4 linked regions of the Saccharomyces cerevisiae S288C genome follow. Changing the gene in region 1 together with any one later gene gives a genetic interaction. Each region holds a gene or a part of one and is shown on either strand. Other genes may lie near its edges. The genes, in order: CIN8, CLB2, PAC1 and BMH1.

The links.
Region 2: mutations in CIN8 (region 1) and CLB2 are lethal when combined (synthetic lethality), as found in Saccharomyces cerevisiae (6 studies listed by BioGRID, with this or other methods).
Region 3: mutations in CIN8 (region 1) and PAC1 together harm fitness more than expected from each alone (negative genetic interaction), as found in Saccharomyces cerevisiae (6 studies listed by BioGRID, with this or other methods).
Region 4: mutations in CIN8 (region 1) and BMH1 together harm fitness more than expected from each alone (negative genetic interaction), as found in Saccharomyces cerevisiae (5 studies listed by BioGRID, with this or other methods).

What each region holds. Positions count from the first base shown.
Region 1 is NC_001137.3:35,660-42,076, reverse strand, and holds CIN8 (kinesin motor protein CIN8), read left to right. Parts: upstream 1-2,539; coding exon 2,540-5,542; downstream 5,543-6,417. Other genes in the region: PRB1 (proteinase B), read left to right, coding at 124-2,031; nitrogen permease regulating protein NPR2, read right to left, coding at 5,823-6,417. UniProt on the Saccharomyces cerevisiae protein: Elongates the mitotic spindle by interacting with spindle microtubules to generate an outward force pushing spindle poles apart.
Region 2 is NC_001148.4:769,544-774,349, forward strand, and holds CLB2 (B-type cyclin CLB2), read left to right. Parts: upstream 1-2,109; coding exon 2,110-3,585; downstream 3,586-4,806. Other genes in the region: B-type cyclin CLB5, read right to left, coding at 4,332-4,806. UniProt on the Saccharomyces cerevisiae protein: Essential for the control of the cell cycle at the G2/M (mitosis) transition. Interacts with the CDC2 protein kinase to form MPF. G2/M cyclins accumulate steadily during G2 and are abruptly destroyed at mitosis.
Region 3 is NC_001147.6:823,208-828,369, forward strand, and holds PAC1 (Pac1p), read left to right. Parts: upstream 1-3,177; coding exon 3,178-4,662; downstream 4,663-5,162. Other genes in the region: putative serine/threonine protein kinase HRK1, read right to left, coding at 1-1,660; YOR268C (uncharacterized protein), read right to left, coding at 2,327-2,725; VPH1 (H(+)-transporting V0 sector ATPase subunit a), read right to left, coding at 4,845-5,162.
Region 4 is NC_001137.3:542,439-546,914, reverse strand, and holds BMH1 (14-3-3 family protein BMH1), read right to left. Parts: upstream 1,305-4,476; coding exon 501-1,304; downstream 1-500. Other genes in the region: PDA1 (pyruvate dehydrogenase (acetyl-transferring) subunit E1 alpha), read right to left, coding at 1-98; ECM32 (RNA helicase), read right to left, coding at 1,860-4,476. UniProt on the Saccharomyces cerevisiae protein: Involved in growth regulation.

The sequences.
Region 1 (6,417 bases):
GAATATAAAAGGGGGCCAATGTTACGTCCCGTTATATTGGAGTTCTTCCCATACAAACTTAAGAGTCCAATTAGCTTCATCGCCAATAAAAAAACAAACTAAACCTAATTCTAACAAGCAAAGATGAAGTTAGAAAATACTCTATTTACACTCGGTGCCCTAGGGAGCATCTCTGCTGCTTTGGTCATCCCAAATCTTGAAAATGCCGCCGACCACCACGAACTGATTAACAAGGAAGATCACCACGAGAGACCCAGAAAAGTGGAATTCACTAAGGACGATGATGAGGAGCCATCTGACTCTGAAGATAAAGAACATGGAAAGTTCCATAAGAAGGGCCGCAAGGGCCAAGACAAGGAGTCTCCGGAATTCAACGGTAAACGTGCAAGTGGCTCTCATGGGAGCGCCCACGAGGGAGGAAAGGGCATGAAGCCTAAGCATGAAAGTTCCAATGATGATGATAATGATGATAAGAAGAAGAAGCCTCACCATAAGGGTGGCTGCCACGAAAATAAGGTGGAGGAGAAGAAGATGAAAGGTAAGAAAGTCAAGGGCAAGAAGCACCACGAAAAGACGTTGGAGAAAGGGAGGCACCACAACAGGCTGGCTCCTCTCGTGTCCACTGCACAATTCAACCCAGACGCGATCTCCAAGATCATCCCCAACCGCTACATTATAGTCTTCAAGAGAGGTGCCCCTCAAGAAGAGATCGATTTCCACAAGGAAAACGTCCAGCAGGCACAACTTCAATCCGTAGAGAACTTATCTGCCGAAGACGCTTTCTTCATTTCTACTAAAGACACCTCCTTGTCCACCTCTGAGGCTGGCGGTATCCAGGACTCATTCAACATCGATAATCTTTTCTCCGGTTACATCGGTTACTTCACCCAAGAGATTGTCGACTTGATACGTCAAAACCCATTAGTAGACTTTGTTGAGAGAGACTCTATTGTCGAGGCTACAGAATTTGACACTCAAAATAGCGCCCCATGGGGGTTGGCCCGTATTTCCCACAGAGAGCGCCTCAACCTGGGGTCCTTCAACAAGTATCTCTACGATGATGATGCCGGTCGCGGTGTCACGTCCTATGTTATTGACACGGGTGTCAACATCAACCACAAGGACTTCGAAAAGAGAGCCATTTGGGGGAAAACCATCCCACTTAACGACGAAGATCTCGACGGTAACGGCCACGGTACCCACTGTGCCGGTACTATCGCTTCCAAACACTACGGTGTCGCTAAAAATGCCAACGTTGTTGCGGTGAAAGTCTTGAGATCAAACGGGTCTGGTACCATGTCTGATGTCGTCAAAGGTGTCGAATATGCCGCAAAGGCGCACCAAAAAGAAGCCCAAGAAAAGAAAAAGGGGTTCAAAGGTTCCACAGCCAATATGTCGCTTGGTGGTGGCAAGTCCCCAGCTTTGGACTTGGCTGTTAATGCAGCCGTTGAAGTCGGTATTCACTTTGCCGTGGCTGCTGGTAACGAAAACCAAGACGCTTGTAATACCTCCCCAGCTTCTGCTGACAAGGCCATCACCGTCGGAGCTTCCACGTTGAGCGATGACAGAGCCTACTTTTCCAACTGGGGTAAGTGTGTCGACGTTTTCGCCCCAGGTTTAAACATTTTGTCCACCTACATTGGAAGTGATGACGCCACCGCCACTTTATCGGGTACCTCAATGGCTTCCCCTCACGTTGCTGGTTTGTTGACCTACTTTTTGTCTTTGCAACCAGGTTCTGATAGTGAATTTTTCGAATTGGGCCAGGATTCTTTGACTCCTCAGCAATTGAAAAAGAAGCTAATTCATTACAGTACAAAGGACATTTTGTTCGATATCCCTGAAGACACTCCAAATGTTTTAATCTACAACGGTGGTGGTCAAGATTTGTCCGCTTTCTGGAATGATACCAAAAAGTCCCATTCATCTGGTTTCAAGCAAGAATTGAACATGGATGAATTCATTGGATCAAAGACCGATTTAATCTTTGATCAAGTGAGAGATATTCTTGATAAATTGAATATTATTTAATTCTTCATTTAGAAAAATTTCAGCTGCTTTTTTTTTTCTTTTTCTTTCCTTAGGCGTCTCGAGGTTACAAGTCGGAGTCCCTCTTCACTATCGTTTGTCCACTTTTTTTATATCCCCATTATTTTCAATCTGAATTTCATTTTTTTTTTTTAATTCATGAAATTTATATGTCCCACGTATTACTACATATTTGCGTTTTTAATTAAATAAATAACTGTTACTTTTATTATATCTTATTTGCAGATCACTTATCTGATCAAATGTTTTCGTTTTCGTGTGTGGTGACGATGTATTAGGTACGCGAAATAAACAAAACAAACAAACAAGGCCGCAACAATAACATCATCTAAAGACTTCCTTTGTGACCCGCTTCTCAACAGCGGGTGTAGAACTTATGGTATGGCCAGAAAGTAACGTTGAGTATAGATACAGAAGCAAGCAATTCAAAGGAAAAAGTAATAAAAAGTATATAAAAGCGCAAAAAATACAACAAGAAAGAATTTGTTTGATGCCAGCGGAAAACCAAAATACGGGTCAAGATAGAAGCTCCAACAGCATCAGTAAAAATGGCAACTCTCAGGTTGGATGTCACACTGTTCCTAATGAGGAACTGAACATCACTGTAGCTGTGCGATGCAGAGGAAGGAATGAAAGGGAAATTAGTATGAAAAGCTCCGTTGTGGTAAATGTTCCAGATATTACAGGTTCTAAAGAAATTTCCATTAACACGACGGGAGATACCGGTATAACTGCTCAAATGAATGCCAAGAGATACACAGTGGACAAAGTCTTCGGTCCCGGCGCTTCCCAGGATCTAATTTTTGATGAAGTGGCGGGCCCATTATTCCAGGATTTCATTAAAGGTTACAATTGCACCGTACTGGTATATGGTATGACGTCAACAGGTAAAACATATACAATGACGGGCGACGAAAAGTTATATAATGGTGAATTGAGCGATGCAGCAGGAATTATACCGAGGGTTCTTTTGAAGTTGTTTGACACATTGGAACTACAACAGAACGATTACGTAGTAAAATGTTCGTTCATTGAACTCTACAACGAAGAATTGAAGGACCTCTTGGACAGCAATAGCAACGGCTCTAGTAATACTGGCTTTGACGGCCAATTTATGAAAAAATTGAGGATTTTTGATTCAAGCACAGCAAATAATACCACTAGCAACAGTGCTAGTAGTTCCAGGAGTAATTCTAGGAACAGTTCTCCGAGGTCATTAAATGATCTAACACCTAAAGCTGCTCTATTAAGAAAAAGGTTAAGGACAAAATCACTGCCGAATACCATCAAGCAACAGTATCAACAACAACAGGCAGTGAATTCCAGGAACAACTCTTCCTCTAACTCTGGCTCTACCACTAATAATGCTTCTAGTAACACCAACACAAATAACGGTCAAAGAAGTTCGATGGCTCCAAATGACCAAACTAATGGTATATACATCCAGAATTTGCAAGAATTTCACATAACAAATGCTATGGAGGGGCTAAACCTATTACAAAAAGGCTTAAAGCATAGGCAAGTAGCGTCCACTAAAATGAACGATTTTTCCAGTAGATCTCATACCATTTTTACAATCACTTTGTATAAGAAGCATCAGGATGAACTATTTAGAATTTCCAAAATGAATCTTGTGGATTTAGCTGGTTCAGAAAACATCAACAGATCCGGAGCATTAAATCAACGTGCCAAAGAAGCTGGTTCAATCAACCAAAGTCTATTGACGCTGGGCAGGGTCATAAACGCACTCGTAGATAAAAGCGGCCATATACCTTTCCGTGAATCGAAATTGACCCGCCTGCTTCAAGATTCCCTGGGTGGTAATACGAAAACCGCACTAATTGCTACTATATCGCCTGCAAAGGTAACTTCTGAAGAAACCTGCAGTACATTAGAGTATGCTTCGAAGGCTAAAAACATTAAGAACAAGCCGCAACTGGGTTCATTTATAATGAAGGATATTTTGGTTAAAAATATAACTATGGAATTAGCAAAGATTAAATCCGATTTACTCTCTACAAAGTCCAAAGAAGGAATATATATGAGCCAAGATCACTACAAAAATTTGAACAGTGATTTAGAAAGTTATAAAAATGAAGTTCAAGAATGTAAAAGAGAAATTGAAAGTTTGACATCGAAAAATGCATTGCTAGTAAAAGATAAATTGAAGTCAAAAGAAACTATTCAATCTCAAAATTGCCAAATAGAATCATTGAAAACTACCATAGATCATTTAAGGGCACAACTAGATAAACAGCATAAAACTGAAATTGAAATATCCGATTTTAATAACAAACTACAGAAGTTGACTGAGGTAATGCAAATGGCCCTACATGATTACAAAAAAAGAGAACTTGACCTTAATCAAAAGTTTGAAATGCATATTACTAAAGAAATTAAAAAATTGAAATCTACACTGTTTTTACAATTAAACACTATGCAACAGGAAAGTATTCTTCAAGAGACTAATATCCAACCAAATCTTGATATGATCAAAAATGAAGTACTGACTCTTATGAGAACCATGCAAGAAAAAGCTGAACTAATGTACAAAGACTGTGTGAAGAAAATTTTAAACGAATCTCCTAAATTCTTCAATGTTGTTATTGAGAAAATCGACATAATAAGAGTAGATTTCCAAAAATTTTATAAAAATATAGCCGAGAATCTTTCTGATATTAGCGAAGAAAATAACAACATGAAACAGTACTTAAAAAACCATTTTTTCAAGAATAACCATCAAGAATTACTGAATCGTCATGTGGATTCTACTTATGAAAATATTGAGAAGAGAACAAACGAGTTTGTTGAGAACTTTAAAAAGGTCCTAAATGACCACCTTGACGAAAATAAAAAACTAATAATGCAGAATCTGACAACTGCAACCAGCGCGGTTATTGATCAAGAAATGGATCTGTTTGAACCCAAGCGCGTTAAATGGGAAAATTCATTTGATCTGATAAATGATTGTGACTCCATGAATAACGAATTCTATAATAGCATGGCAGCGACGCTATCGCAAATCAAGAGTACTGTTGATACATCATCAAATTCGATGAATGAGTCTATTTCAGTCATGAAAGGACAAGTGGAAGAATCGGAGAACGCTATATCCCTTTTGAAGAACAATACCAAATTTAATGATCAATTTGAGCAGCTTATTAACAAGCATAACATGTTGAAAGATAACATTAAAAATTCGATAACATCAACACACTCTCATATAACTAATGTGGATGATATCTATAATACGATTGAAAACATAATGAAAAACTATGGTAACAAGGAAAACGCTACCAAAGACGAAATGATCGAGAACATATTGAAGGAAATACCAAATCTAAGTAAGAAAATGCCGTTAAGGTTATCAAACATAAATAGCAATTCAGTGCAAAGTGTAATATCGCCCAAAAAGCATGCAATTGAAGATGAAAACAAATCCAGTGAAAATGTGGACAATGAGGGCTCGAGAAAAATGTTAAAGATTGAATAGTTGATATTGCCTTTCAGTCGAATATATATTCAAACTAGTGGTTAATAAAAACAAAGTATGTAAAGAATACTCAGTTATTCATTAGAAGGCAAGACAGAAGAGAAGGGTGTGAAACCACCTCTACCAAACACACCAAGAGATGAACCTAAATCAAATTTTCACAGAGCTAACTATATAAACGTTTGGATTCGTGTGTACTATCTTTATTTACGGAAATAAGTTGTAATATTAAAAAAAAAAAAAAACATTTTGATGGACAATGAATTTCTCTAATTTTAACTCAGCTATTAATTACCTTAAATTCTCCTAATTCGTTTAGGTAGCTTTCGACTTCTAATTTAGGCTTGCTCAGTAAAACGCAAATTTTATCAAATGTTTCGGCATTCCTAATAGACTCTTCAAGAATACCTTCTTCTTCGTCGCTGAGTTTCGGCATAGTACTTTTGCCTGTTGCCAACGAACTTACCCTTTGCATTTCAAATGAAACCTTTGATGGTCTTTCTGGTTTCAAGTTGCCGGATTGTGCCGTATTTCTAGACCCTGTGGCTGAAAGCAAATGATTGTGATTTCTTTTTTCAAGTAACTTATCATTATTCACTAAATCTTTTGTTATTATTGGTGTCATTTCTTTTGGTTCACGTGAACCTGCATTTATCATTACAGGAAAAGAGTAGCACCTGTAAATGATACGTTTTTCCAGGCCAAACGTTATGAACCTTCTTATATCAATGTTATTTTCTTTTAAAATCATATATTTCGACTCATACCATGTTTTCAGCGTTTGACCTTGTGAAAGTGACCTATAAAGGTCAAATAGGCATGATCTTGTTGGTAGGAATCGGTTACGATTGTTGATGACATGAATATTTGAACTC
Region 2 (4,806 bases), on another chromosome or scaffold:
AGTAACATTCCGTGAATTAATCTGATAAACTGTTTTAACAACTGGTTACTTCCCTAAGACTGTTTATATTAGGATTGTCAAGACACTCCGGTATTACTCGAGCCCGTAATACAACAGAGCGTCCTTAATAAATATTTCTATAAATATTTGATGTTTACCTTCCGAAAAAGGTACATTGCCAACCTTATTTGATAAATGTGTAAACTAAGATAAGTGTTGAGATCGGATTTTGATAAAGGCATTTGTTTGGGGTGTATGAGTTGGGAAAAGAAACAACAATCATCTCTTGACCAGTTTTCCTACTACTAGTGTGTTATCATATAGCGTAAGAGTATGACATAGAGATTGAGAAACAGAAACTGAATCATAACGAACATCACAGAATTTACATTTCTACACAATTTTCAGAAAAAGTGGAGTGGTGATATATGCTTATTGTTCTACAAGTTCTCTTCATGCGTTTTTGTTTATCTATCTTATTGAATTATTATCTTCATGCATTTATACTTATTAAATTCGATGAACATTTCATATTATTTTTATATGCTTCATAATTCATGTTACTACGATCTATACAGAGTATTATCGTAATGTCTTACCTTTAGCTTGTCACTTAACACATGCACTGCATTTCGAAAAGATGCTTAAGCAAGTTTATCATAATTTGGGAGTGTTCGGTGAATTTATACAGAAAGCCCCTCCAACGTCTTATTGATAATGTATATTTAGTTCATTTACCAAAATACTATCAATTCATCAACCTCCAAGTGGTTTTGACTAAACAGCCCACAATTGACATATGTGACTGCTAAGCAGACCTTTCTTGAAGTAAATTTCAGGGAAACTAAGCTACGGCCTTTCCAAAATATGGGCAGGAACTGCTTAATCCTTTCCTTTTATTAGATAAGCACTTTAGTATTTTTGTTTTTCATGGCCTTATCCTACGTTATTGTCGTGAAAGAAATGGCAGAAATTTCTGTTGTACATAAATTACTAACTGCCTTACCTTGAAAACGGTTTTATTACAAAAATAGGGGTCAAGTGTTTTGTTATCCCTGTTGTTGTTGTTTTATAAGTCCTAATCTCGCTTGAATATCGCCCATATTCACACCCTGTTCTTGACCGTCTACTAAGGTGCCTTAGGGGGACTCAAACTTAAGATCGCCTTCTACGCGTTTTATGCTATGATCATTAGTGTTGATGCATCGGAAGTTTAAAAATTAAGTGCGAGTGCATTAGCACAGTGGAATTATTAGAATGACCACTACTCCTTCTAATCAAACACGCGGAAATAGCCGCCAAAAGACAGATTTTATTCCAAATGCGGGTAACTATTTGTATAATATGTTTACATATTGAGCCCGTTTAGGAAAGTGCAAGTTCAAGGCACTAATCAAAAAAGGAGATTTGTAAATATAGCGACCGAATCAGGAAAAGGTCAACAACGAAGTTCGCGATATGGATGAACTTCGGTGCCTGTCCCTCGAGGAAATAGCAAACTCGTTACAGCTAGCATCTCATAGCATGGGCATAGAGTTTCAGAAATTTTGCTCTTAATGGAAAATATAACCTCTTTGGGGAAAAGAGAAATAGATCCTTTCTCAAAAATTTAGAAAGGAAAAAAAATCAAAATATAATAAAATAGATTTTTTTTAGGTTAATTTTTTGCCAATTTAGCTAGACTTTTGAAAAGATCCAAAAATTTACTAAAATTGAATCTTTCTGGTATTAATTTTGTCCTATACCTCAAGAAGTAAAGTATTCTCGAATTGATACTTCTGAAAAGCGAAAGAAATATAGCTAAAGGATACTGGTTATTTATTCTTTCTTTTTTTCTTTCTTTTTGATTGAGCCAGTGTATAATAAAAACCTACTGCGAGCTATTCAATAAATTGACATAGAATATCTGTTGAAGCGGTTCTTTGATTGAGCATCTGTTTTCCTTTTGTATTTTTGTCCTTTTAGATTCTTTTAACGACATTGGAGAAATTTTAATCATTGTATAAAAACTTCATTCGCTCGTTTGTCAGAAGTTTTTTTATAACTTGCTATTTCCTTCCAAGAAGCCTTTTATTGATTACCCCCTCTCTCTCTTCATTGATCTTATAGATGTCCAACCCAATAGAAAACACAGAAAACTCACAGAATACTAGTTCATCAAGGTTTTTGAGGAATGTACAAAGGTTGGCCTTAAACAATGTAACAAATACGACATTTCAAAAGAGTAATGCGAATAATCCAGCCCTAACAAATTTCAAATCTACACTAAACTCAGTAAAGAAGGAGGGAAGTCGGATTCCTCAATTTACTAGAGAAAGCGTATCAAGATCAACAGCCGCACAAGAGGAGAAAAGAACCCTGAAAGAAAATGGTATCCAACTCCCCAAAAACAATCTTTTAGATGATAAAGAAAACCAAGACCCAAGTAGTCAGCAATTTGGTGCGCTAACTTCTATAAAGGAGGGGAGAGCTGAGCTGCCTGCAAATATAAGTTTACAAGAATCCTCCTCAGCGAAGGAGATAATCCAGCATGATCCCCTAAAAGGCGTTGGATCAAGCACTGAGGTAGTCCATAACTCGGTAGAAAACGAAAAACTTCATCCAGCTAGAAGTCAACTTCAAGTTAGAAATACCGAAAGTGAAACTGATAGTGGAAAAAAAAGACCAATTTCTACAATTGTTGAACAAGAACTGCCCAAAAAGTTTAAAGTGTGCGATGAAAATGGCAAAGAAGAATATGAATGGGAAGACCTAGATGCAGAAGATGTAAATGATCCATTCATGGTCAGCGAGTACGTCAATGATATATTCGAATATCTCCACCAACTAGAGGTCATTACTCTTCCAAAGAAGGAAGATCTCTATCAGCATAGAAATATTCATCAAAATCGAGATATCCTAGTTAATTGGTTGGTTAAAATCCATAATAAATTCGGCTTATTACCGGAGACTTTGTATCTTGCCATTAACATAATGGACAGGTTTTTAGGTAAAGAGCTAGTTCAACTGGATAAGTTACAATTGGTTGGCACATCATGCCTTTTCATTGCCTCTAAATATGAAGAGGTCTATTCTCCTAGTATAAAACATTTCGCATCAGAGACAGACGGTGCATGTACGGAAGATGAAATCAAAGAAGGGGAGAAATTCATTTTAAAGACATTGAAATTTAACCTAAATTATCCCAATCCGATGAATTTTCTGAGAAGAATTTCGAAAGCAGATGACTACGATATACAGTCTCGAACTCTTGCCAAATTCTTATTAGAGATATCATTGGTAGATTTCAGATTTATTGGGATACTACCCTCATTGTGTGCAGCAGCTGCGATGTTTATGTCGAGAAAAATGTTAGGTAAAGGTAAATGGGATGGAAATCTAATACACTATAGCGGCGGGTATACTAAAGAAGAACTTGCGCCCGTGTGTCACATGATAATGGATTATCTAGTGAGTCCAATTGTTCATGATGAATTTCATAGAAAATATCAATCTAGAAGATTTATGAAAGCTTCTATAATTTCCGTCCAATGGGCTTTAAAGGTTAGAAAAAACGGCTATGATATAATGACCTTGCATGAATGAGAAGAGGGGCAGATGCTTAAAATATCTAAAACGATAATCGATAAATGTCCATATAAAATGTATGGCTGCTTTTTAATCATTTCTTTTCACATTTCCATTTATTCTTACAAATTTCACACCCAATTTTAGCGCCTTTCATTCTGTTATTTTTAAACTGACGATAAAAAATCATTCGAAGCCTAAGATTTCCAAAATAAAACTCCATTTTTATTCTCACTAATAACACCACACCATTAATTTTAATTTTTTAATTTTAATTTCAGATTTGTACCATAAGTTTTATTCTATTTCAGTTCAACCGTTTCCGGATGCATGTAGCGAGGGTAGACAAAGAAAAGCATCAGTATCGGATGTTGATATTATGGGAAATATCATAACCTTAGTCTCTTAAAAAATGCTGCTTTCTTCTCATTTTTCATTTCTTTTAAAATTATTTCAGTATAGTTATTATAATTAACATTGGAATAACATTAATAATAATAATTTTTTAATAGTAATAATGATAATAATAATAATAAAAATAAAAGAATAAATTTAAAAACAAAAAAAATTCTAATATTAATGATGATAATAGTAGTAATACTGGTGGTATTATATATGTTGAAGTGAACACGCATATCACTATAAACTATATATACATATATATAGATAGATAGATAGATGCAAAAAATTTTTTCCTTTTAGTTCAGCAAAAAGAAAAGAAAATGTAAAGAGTATGCGAATTCATGAGCATTACTAGTACTAATCTACTTAAGATTAAATAGATTTTGAAAGTTGCTATGCATTTCGGATGTACACCACTTGAAAGTTTGGAAATAAACAGAGCCATACCTTGGTTTCTTGTACTTCAAAATCAATGAATCTAAATGAGTTTTGGAACTAGCGATGTCTTTGACTAGATCAATGCAGAGAGACTGAAACGCTTCATCGTGTATTGGATCGATACCACCACTGTAATGCTGTAGTGTTCCATTCCATAGCTCGTTCTTGTTTCTGTTGGTCATTCTTCTCGCTATATACATTGCCATTGCGCTTACGGTAGATGGAGGTAAATGAATGAATTGGTGGCAGCAGTAGGCATACTCTAAAATAAACTTACCAATATTTCTATTAACCGGATCGTAATCATCTGCCTTGGAGATCCTCCTTAGGAAATTGAGTGGGTTGGGCCAACCAATGTTGAATTCTAAGGAAGTGAGCATGAACATTTCCGCATTTTTT
Region 3 (5,162 bases), on another chromosome or scaffold:
CTGAAACTACCGTGCTTTTATTCTCATTTTTGCTTATTTTAATATCGATGGTACTTTCCTTGTCATTATCTGGCGTGCTTTCTTTATCATTATTGCTATCATCTTCTTTATTTTCTTCGGTTTCTTCTTCCACAATGTCTGGTTTGTTATCGCTTTTACCCTGTATAGATGCTGGAGTATTTGGAACTTGATTTTGAACTGTTTTCAAGTTTGATTCATGAGCTGGTTGTTGCTGATTGATGGCGGAACAGTCACTGTGATTCAAAAACCTTTGACGCTTTTCTTTTCTTTCCTTCAGTAACTCTTCGTGATGCCTGGCAGATTCAACATAGTCGTGTTCTATATCATCCGGCATACAATATAATCTAAAATTATCGTCAGAATCTCTAGGGGCTTTCCATGGAAACCTTTTAAGCACCATACAACAATATATGATCCCAATAGACCATATATCGACGCACTGAGGATCATAAGATTTGGTGGAGGTAATCACTTCCGGCGCTAAGTAAGGGTCACTACCCACGATTCCATGAGCCATCGTTACGCCATCTTCAAAAGGATATCTGAACACAACAGCACTACCAAAATCAATTAATTTCAAAATACCCTGGGAAGTCATGACACAATTATCCAATTTCAAATCTCTATGTGCCAATCCCATAGAATGTAAATATTTAACACCTTCAGTCAATTGCTTCAAGCAACAGTTGATCTCGCCACGAGACATCTTGCCTGTCATAACAACAGCAAAAAAATCAATCGGACAGTACTCCATAACTTCATAGTATTTATTTTGTTTAGAATCAGAGAAAACGTCAACAGTTTCGATAACATTTGGGTGATGTAAAGTCGAACCAATACAAAATTCTGCGGTGCACTTCTTGGCATATTCTTTCACACTCTCATTCGGTTTCCTTGGTCTGAATTCTTTGACGGCAAAAGTAGCACCATCAGTTGGTCTCACAAGAACTTTAACGGACCCACCGGCACCGGAACCCAATAACTTACCCAATTTCCCGTATTTTTGAGCCAGAATACAATCATCGTGATATATATTAATATTATTGGACAAAGATAGGATAGAATCGGTACTTGGCGGTATAGCAGACTGGGTATGAGCATAGTGGTCTGTAAAGCCATGAGGATGCTGGGCACGATAGTGATTATTTAAATTAACTGTAGAAGTTGATTTTGAAGGTGGGGGGGAATGGGTGCTATGTTTCTTGGAACGAAGTTGAGACATAGATAGTTTTTTATTTACAGAAGGTCTGAAAAACCTTTTCAATTCTGCCATGGAGTGGGTTTGTTTTGGAGAGGCGGGAGAAGTATAGTCATGGAGCCCATGAGAAATATTATGGTGGTGGTTTGTTTCATAGTTATTATTGTAGTTGTTTGTTGAGATACTGGTTGCATTAGAATGGCTATGGGTGTTGTTATTAAGGTTTGTTGTAGTATAATTTGTAGTGGTTGTGGTAGATTTCATGGAATCTGTAGATTTCTCGCTTCTTAGTGAGTCATTACTTTGTTTTCTACCAATGAAGTTTAAGAAAGATTTAGAACTTCTGATCAACTGTGGCGGGTTATTAGACGAATTTTCACGGTCATGATGATGGTCATTATGATGACCATGGAATGGGTTTCTCGACAATAGATTAGGCATCTTTATACGAGAAATAGTTCTACCGTATTATTATAATTATTAGTGTTATTATTTTTGTTTTCGATCAATTCTAGCGGAGCTACAATGTGGTAGTCAAACGCTGCTATTGTATTTAATTCCGGCTCGAGACCAGTCTGGAAAGTCGACGTATATCGTTACTACTATCCTTTTTTTATTATTCCTACTATTTCCTTATTGAAAAAGTGGAAAACTGTTAAATCTGGAAATTCTTCACGATTCTAGAAAAATAGGAGGTGAAGAAGATTTCTAAGCTTTTTGAAAAAAACGGGAAAAGGAAGAGGCCCAAAAAAGTGAAAAAAAACTGTGTGTGTGAAATGTAAACGAACTTTGCTCCCTCTAGGAAAAACTTCTTTAAGCGGTTGGGAACTGTCTTGGGCTTACTTGTTTGTAAACAGTTGTATGAATGATTCTATATGCTAATTCTCAGTTTGTCTCTCTTAAAGATTTGTCACTCTGAAATATATAGCCAAATAGAACTAGGCGAAGAAAAAGAAAAGGGGCGGCGACGACGTAGGGGTCAGGTAGAAGAGTTGGGCACTTATTGGCGATATAAAAGACAAAATACACTAATGCAAGAGTATGGTGAGCGAAAGGAAAATAAAGAAAGGCTACGTTATTGACGGATATATGAATCAAGACACAAGACTATTTTGTATAGTAAGCAGAACCGGCTTGTGTTTGTGATTCATGGATCAACGAGACGGTAGCGAATAAGCACCAACGGAAAAAAAGAAAACATACGCATACATGCACGTACAAGATAAAAAAAGCACAGGTGTGGTGGTAGTATTGGGATAACCAGGCACACGCTACTGCGAGATAGCAAAAGACCCTTCCCGTAAACCGCTCGGATAAACCGATTTTGTCCTTTAGCGTGACACGGATTATACGCGGGGATCCGGCGTCACAAGCCACGGCCCGTCCCGTCCGCGTGGTTTTTAATTCTGGCTCCGCGTAGTACATTTTGTAGCTTGCCTTTTTTCCGGCTTCTAGAAAACTGGAAAAACCATAAGAAAAAAATGGGAAGGGGAAAACAAAAACCATTCAGGTCTTGCGTGCCGAGAATTTTTTTTTTCTCTTTTTCGTTGTCAACTTTTGCAGTAGCAGCCGCTGGCGACCCGGACGGTAGCCATGGCAACGGTTAGCTAATGGTAGGTAAATAAAACGAGTAACGACGTTTTAGTATATCTTGGTAAACTACAATTAGATCTTAAAACGGTTCCTGAAAAAGTGCTTTCATCTACCATTGAATTTAATTCACTTCCCTTTATGGAATTTGCACTGGTTTTGTGCTGTGGGATGTGGGTGTTTTGAAATATTTTCAGCTTGCAAGTCGTGCATATTGCACTTGTTTCTTATTTTTGGCGAGTGTAAACGTAATAGGTAATCTTAGTATTGGGCCATCGTCGCCCAGATAGCCATTGATAAAGCAGCTAGGTTCGTCGTCCGGTTGTTGGTATACACCTGTGCGTGCGTAAGTGTAGAAAAAAATAGAAATGACTAACTGGCAGCAACAGCTTCCTTTAACAGATACACAGAAAAATGAACTCGATAAAAGTGTCCTCCGATATTTGAATTGGAATTACAAACAAACTGTACGACATGAGCATGCTCAAGATTACGAAAGTGTTCGACATGCAATTGTAACTCTATCAGGTTTTCTGTTGCAAGAATCAGTGGACCGGCAAGAATTCATCAGTAACAATGACACCAGTAACGAAAGTATGGTAGACATTGATGAATTACTGCTACCGAAGAAGTGGAACTCAATTGTTAGACTACAAAAAAAAATCATTGAATTGGAGCAGAATACAGAGACCCTTGTATCTCAGATTAAAGATTTGAACACTCAAGTGTCAGAACTAGCACAATTCAAACCTACCACCAGTAACGGCACCAGCGCACATAATGTTTTGAAATGGATACCGAGAAATCTACCAAGCTGTTTAATTAATGTTGAATCATCTGTCACTTCCGTCAAACTACATCCCAATTTGCCTATAGTGTTTGTGGCCACAGATCATGGCAAATTATACGCATTTGATTTATTTAACTACACCATCCCTCTGGCATCCTTGCAAAGTCATACCAAGGCAATTACCTCCATGGATGTTTTATTTACCAATTATACGAACTCCAGCAAGAAGAACTATTTGGTGATCGTTACCGCGTCTAAAGATTTGCAGATTCATGTTTTCAAGTGGGTCTCCGAGGAATGCAAGTTCCAACAAATTAGGTCTTTATTGGGCCATGAGCATATTGTCTCTGCGGTAAAAATCTGGCAGAAAAATAATGATGTCCATATAGCGTCCTGTTCCAGAGATCAAACTGTTAAAATTTGGGACTTCCACAATGGTTGGTCGTTGAAAACATTTCAGCCTCATTCCCAATGGGTTCGTTCCATAGACGTTCTAGGCGATTACATCATCTCTGGTTCACATGACACTACATTAAGGTTAACACATTGGCCATCAGGTAATGGTCTTAGTGTTGGCACGGGTCATGAATTTCCCATAGAGAAAGTTAAATTTATTCATTTCATCGAAGACTCTCCGGAGATAAGGTTTAGAACACCATCAACGGATCGATATAAGAATTGGGGGATGCAATATTGTGTCTCAGCGTCAAGAGATAGAACGATAAAAATCTGGGAGATACCTCTACCTACGTTAATGGCCCATAGAGCACCCATACCGAATCCTACAGATTCAAATTTCAGATGTGTTCTTACGTTGAAGGGGCATCTTTCGTGGGTTAGAGATATTAGTATTCGAGGCCAATACTTGTTTTCTTGTGCTGATGATAAATCTGTCAGATGTTGGGATCTGAACACGGGGCAGTGCTTACACGTTTGGGAAAAGTTGCATACAGGATTTGTCAACTGTTTAGACCTGGATGTGGATTTCGATTCTAACGTTACCCCAAGGCAAATGATGGTCACTGGTGGATTGGATTGCAAGTCTAACGTTTTCATGAGATAAGTTTGGCTTTCCTATTTCTTTTTCCCTTTTTTTTGACTCTTTTTAAGCATTGGTTGATACTTTAAATACTTTATTGAATTAGCATTGATAGTATATAATAAGGTTTACTCACTATATAGTAGCATCATTTATTATTTAATGAAGTACTTAAATGTTTCGCTTTTTTTAAAAGTCCTCAAAATTTAGCTTGAAGCGGAAGAGCTTGCACTAGCAACAGCGACTTCCATGTCTTTATACTCAAATGCGAATGGTTCGTATGGTAAACCTTCACCCACGAAAAACTTGGACATAGATTCAACCCAGTGCAAACGTAAGGAATGAAGCATGGCAGATGTACCTTCCATCAAAACAAGAACTGCACATGTTAGTGCGAACCACATGGCAAAAAGTGCAACCGTCATAAACACACCCACAAATCCTCTAAATCCAAAGGCAATTTGAATTGTCATTGTCCATAAAACACTAGACAATTGAGCATGTGCCAATGATAAGGCCCATAA
Region 4 (4,476 bases), 510 kb from region 1:
ATGGTACGAACATGACCTATCCTGGTGGGAGTGCGAAGAACAGCTCCTAACCCGCGGACCAATTGTGATGGTTGGCGTTTGAATGAAGCAGCAAGCATTGGCACAAATGTGGTTTCCTTTCTTATTGCTGTATCCAACTTTTGTGAAGATACAGGTGCGACAAACATAAAAAAGTTCTTGCCGTTAAGAAGCTAAAGTTGCTTCTCGCTATACCAGAGGGGATTATTGTCGGGAGTCATGATGCGACATTTACCCGGTTGAGTAAGGAAGGGGTGGAGGAATCAGAAGAGAGATAAATAAACATACACGTCAAAACAGTATAGTTCAAGTAACACATATAGACATGTACACGCGCGATTACGTGTGTACATGCACATGTTAATGTTATATACATATATAGATATAGATATATAATTGCAATAATGAACTACAAATTATTACACCCCCGTTCTTTTTTTTTTCTTTTTTTTAGTAATTTCTCTTTAGATTTATCAGAATACTTACTTTGGTGCTTCACCTTCGGCGGCAGCAGGTGGCTGCTGTTGCTGATGTTGTTGTTGTTGTTGTTGGTCTTCAGCTTGACCGGACTCGGACATGTCTGAAGTCCATAAGGTTAAATTGTCCCTTAGCAGTTGCATGATAAGTGTGCTATCTTTGTATGATTCTTCAGACAGAGTGTCCAACTCAGCAATAGCGTCGTCAAAAGCTTGCTTGGCCAAATGGCAGGCTTTGTCTGGAGAGTTTTGAATTTCATAATAGAAGACAGAGAAGTTAAGAGCCAAACCTAGACGGATTGGGTGAGTTGGGGGTAACTCTGTGGTGGCAATTTCAGAAGCGGTCTTGTATGCTTCTAAAGAGGCGTTTGTGGCCTTTTCTCTAGCATCGCCACTAGAAAATTCAGCCAAATAACGGTGGTAGTCACCCTTCATCTTATAGTAGAAAACCTTGGACTCGCCAGTGGTGGCTGATGGAATTAAGTGGGAGTCTAGCACGGACAAAATATCGTCGGAGATCTTAGTTAGTTCGGTCTCAATCTTCGAACGGTACGAACAAATCAACTCGACCTGGTGTTCGGACTTCTCCTTGGACTCCTCCTTTTGCTCAATAGAAGAAACAATTCTCCAAGAGGCACGACGAGCACCAATAACGTTCTTATAAGCAACAGACAACAAATTACGCTCTTCGACCGACAACTCTTGGCCAGAGGAGGCAACAGTCTTCATGTTTTCGACCATTTCTTCATAACGTTCGGCCTGTTCAGCCAACTTGGCTAGGTACACAGAATCTTCACGACTGGTTGACATTTTTATCTTTAGTTTATCTTTAACTTGCTTTTTCTTCTCACTTGCTTGCGCTCTCAATTTTGAAAAGTAGGAAAAACTAAGTTATTTTTGCAGAAACTACACGGTTTTATGTTACGGTTCGTCTCGTTTTCAGGTTTAAGGTCCAATAATAAAGAGTTTCCTTTTCCTTTTTCCTTTTTGCTGCGCGTGGAAAAGCGTGTCTTTTTCTCATACCCCTGTTTTTTTGTTTTTTTTTTTATTTTTTTTGCTTTTCTTTGCTTTTTGCCTCGTCCCCCCGCGCCCCGGCCACAAAGAGGAAGCTATTTGCCACCGAGCTTCCTCTTTTGACTCCAGGCCGGAATAAAGTAGCTTCCGCAAAACTTCGCTCCACTTTCCAAAGAGGAAGCCCGTCACGTGGCTGCGCTGTCTCCCCCCCCCCCCCCCCTTTTTCCCCTGTGTTTTCGATCTACCGATTTTCTGTTCTATAACTACGTCCATTATCTATCTATATCTATCTATCTCTGCATTGCGCAATCAATACATAAACAGTGGATTTTCTTGCCGCCGCCTAGCCGGCTAGTAAGCTGTGAGATCAGTGAATATGACCTCTTGTTCCTCGAGGTAGGTAATGTAGTCTTTCCATAGGGGGTCTCCTTTTCTTAAGACATTCTTGTTGCCCACCACAATTAGTCCGTGCTTGGCTCTTGTCAATGCCACGTTTAACCTTCTTTTGTCACGTAAAAAGCCGATTTTGTTTTCGGTGTTATTTCTGACACATGAAAATATGATGAAAGATTTTTCGTGGCCTTGAAAGGAGTCTACGGTCGCGACGTGTAGGCCGTTGATGATGTTAATCACATTGTTTTGTAGACTGCCGGCGGTTCCTTGAGAACCAGCCGCGTTAAATAGCTCAATTTCATCGTATTCTTGTTGCATAGAAATCTGTTTGGGGTTGATAACTACGTTTTTGGTCAAGATGTCAGACAGCAGATCACGCTGTGCAGAATAGGGCGTTATGACACCAATTTCTTCCAGCGGAACCTTCTTGTCCAACATTAGTATTTGGATAATCTTCACGATTTCTACACATTCGTGTTTGTTTTCGTACGTAAACCCGACTATGTCTCTTTGCGTGCTTCTCACTCTGCTCTCGGGCCCCAAATCGCACTGATAAAAAAACAACGGATGCTGCACGCCAGGCCATGCCTTTTGTTCGTCCGTGACACCGTCCTTCAATTCACCATTGTATATTTTCTTAATGGGGAATTCGCTAATTTTTGGGTGCATTCTGTACTGCGTATCCAGCATTAGTGGGTTTTTGTACGTGCCATTAGATAGGACTCTTTCGAATAGTGAGGTTTCCAGTTGAGGGATGTTGCTGAAACTTGACAATTGCTTTTCGTCCCCAACGAAGACAAAATTTCTTATACCTGGTAACGAAAGTGGGACTAGTGTTGAAGCCTCTGATGATTGTGTAGCCTCATCCATTATTACCACGGGACATTCTTTTATAACCTTCAATTCACGACCACCTGCAGCAATGTTTGTCGTGAAAATTATTTGCGATTGAGATACGACCTTGTTGGTGACACGGTTTTTCTCTTTATAAAACTTCGTGTCCTCTGATTTGGAGATCATTTCGCCCCTGCGGGTTTTGTTTGCCACGACTTGCATGTCTGGGGAAAGATTTTTGTATACAATATTGTGGAGACAAATTTCGCCCAATGGGTGGTCATCACTATACTGTTGTTCTTTCTTCTTTGACAAAATTCTTAAGATCTTTATCTGCGGTCTATTCTCCATAATCTTCTCGGCAATGTTATCAATAGCAATATTTGACGCGGCAACACACAATATTGGGAATGCGTGAAATCTTTCAATTACTTGGATGATTATCTCCTCTATTGTTGATGTTTTACCTGTACCAGGTGGGCCTTGTAGAATTGTGATACTGTTGTTTAGAACATGTTCCACTGCAGTCTTCTGAGATCGGTTCAACTTGTCACTGGAAAATTTTAGCCTGTTATCAAAATAAATCTCTTTAATAGGCTTTTGGCCTAGTAATAGGTCAATAAATTTTGGGTTTGTAATACGCGTCATGGCAAATAGAATTCTACTTGTCTGCGCAGAAGTTGGCAATAGCTTAAATTGAGATGAACCATTTTTCGTTGGCAAACTCAAATTATTCCACGAAAAAAGCTCCACTAACAACACGTATTTACCCCTTTGAATAGAAAGTTCTTTGATAAAAATATACCAAACTTTTTGTTCATCCTGAGTACAAAAGAAAAATGGTTGCCTTTCATTAAATGCCGGTCTACCGAGTGCAAGCAAATTTGCAGGTAGTAATTTCTCAAGTTCTGAATTATTATTCTTCTCAACGTTGATTATAAAAGCTGTATCTTTTTCATTGCGAGGCCATAGTATGTTGAAGTTTTGAACAAATTCGTTCTCTAATTTCTGTTCCAAAAAAAGGGCAAATGAGTAATCATTTAGGTATGTGTTCAAATCGGGGTATGATAAGGTTGACTTAAAGGTATTATACCTTGTGAGTGGTTCACCTTCTTCGTAAATAAGTTTCCCGTCCTTAGTTTTTCCATTATTTTTCTCTTGATTTTTTGTCTCCAACTTTTTTGGCATCGTTGTTGTTTTTGATTTTTCATTCAGCGTCGGCTTGCTAGCCTTCTTATTGCGGTTTCGCGATTTAGTAATTGAAGTTGTGTTCTCGTTTGGGCTAATACTAGGTTCTCTAGAAGATTCAGTATCAGATCCAATTGTCCACCTGCTAGTTCCCTTATTTGGCTGGTTATTTGATTTTTTGCCAAGTGCATTCTTTCTGCCAGCTGAATTTAGTTTGGCCTCTCGCGGATTCTTATTACCCGTTTTATCATTGCCCTTAGTCTTCTGGCCAGCATGGTCTTTTTTCCCTTTTTTCAAACCAGTAGTATTAGTACTGCCCGACCCGTTTCCATTCAAAGCTTTTGGTTGCGGTAATTGGTGCTTATCCACTGATTCGTTCTTGCCTTTCCCTCCAGAGTTTGTTGTAACGTGGCTATTGGTATTTTTTCTGTCCTCTGGTATAGGTTGGCTGTTACGGACATTATTTCTAATGTTTGTTTTCCTCTCTTTCTCTTTTCCTATCCCATTTCCACTATTCTTTTTGTGGTTTGCCTTATTTCCTTTCCCTTTGTTT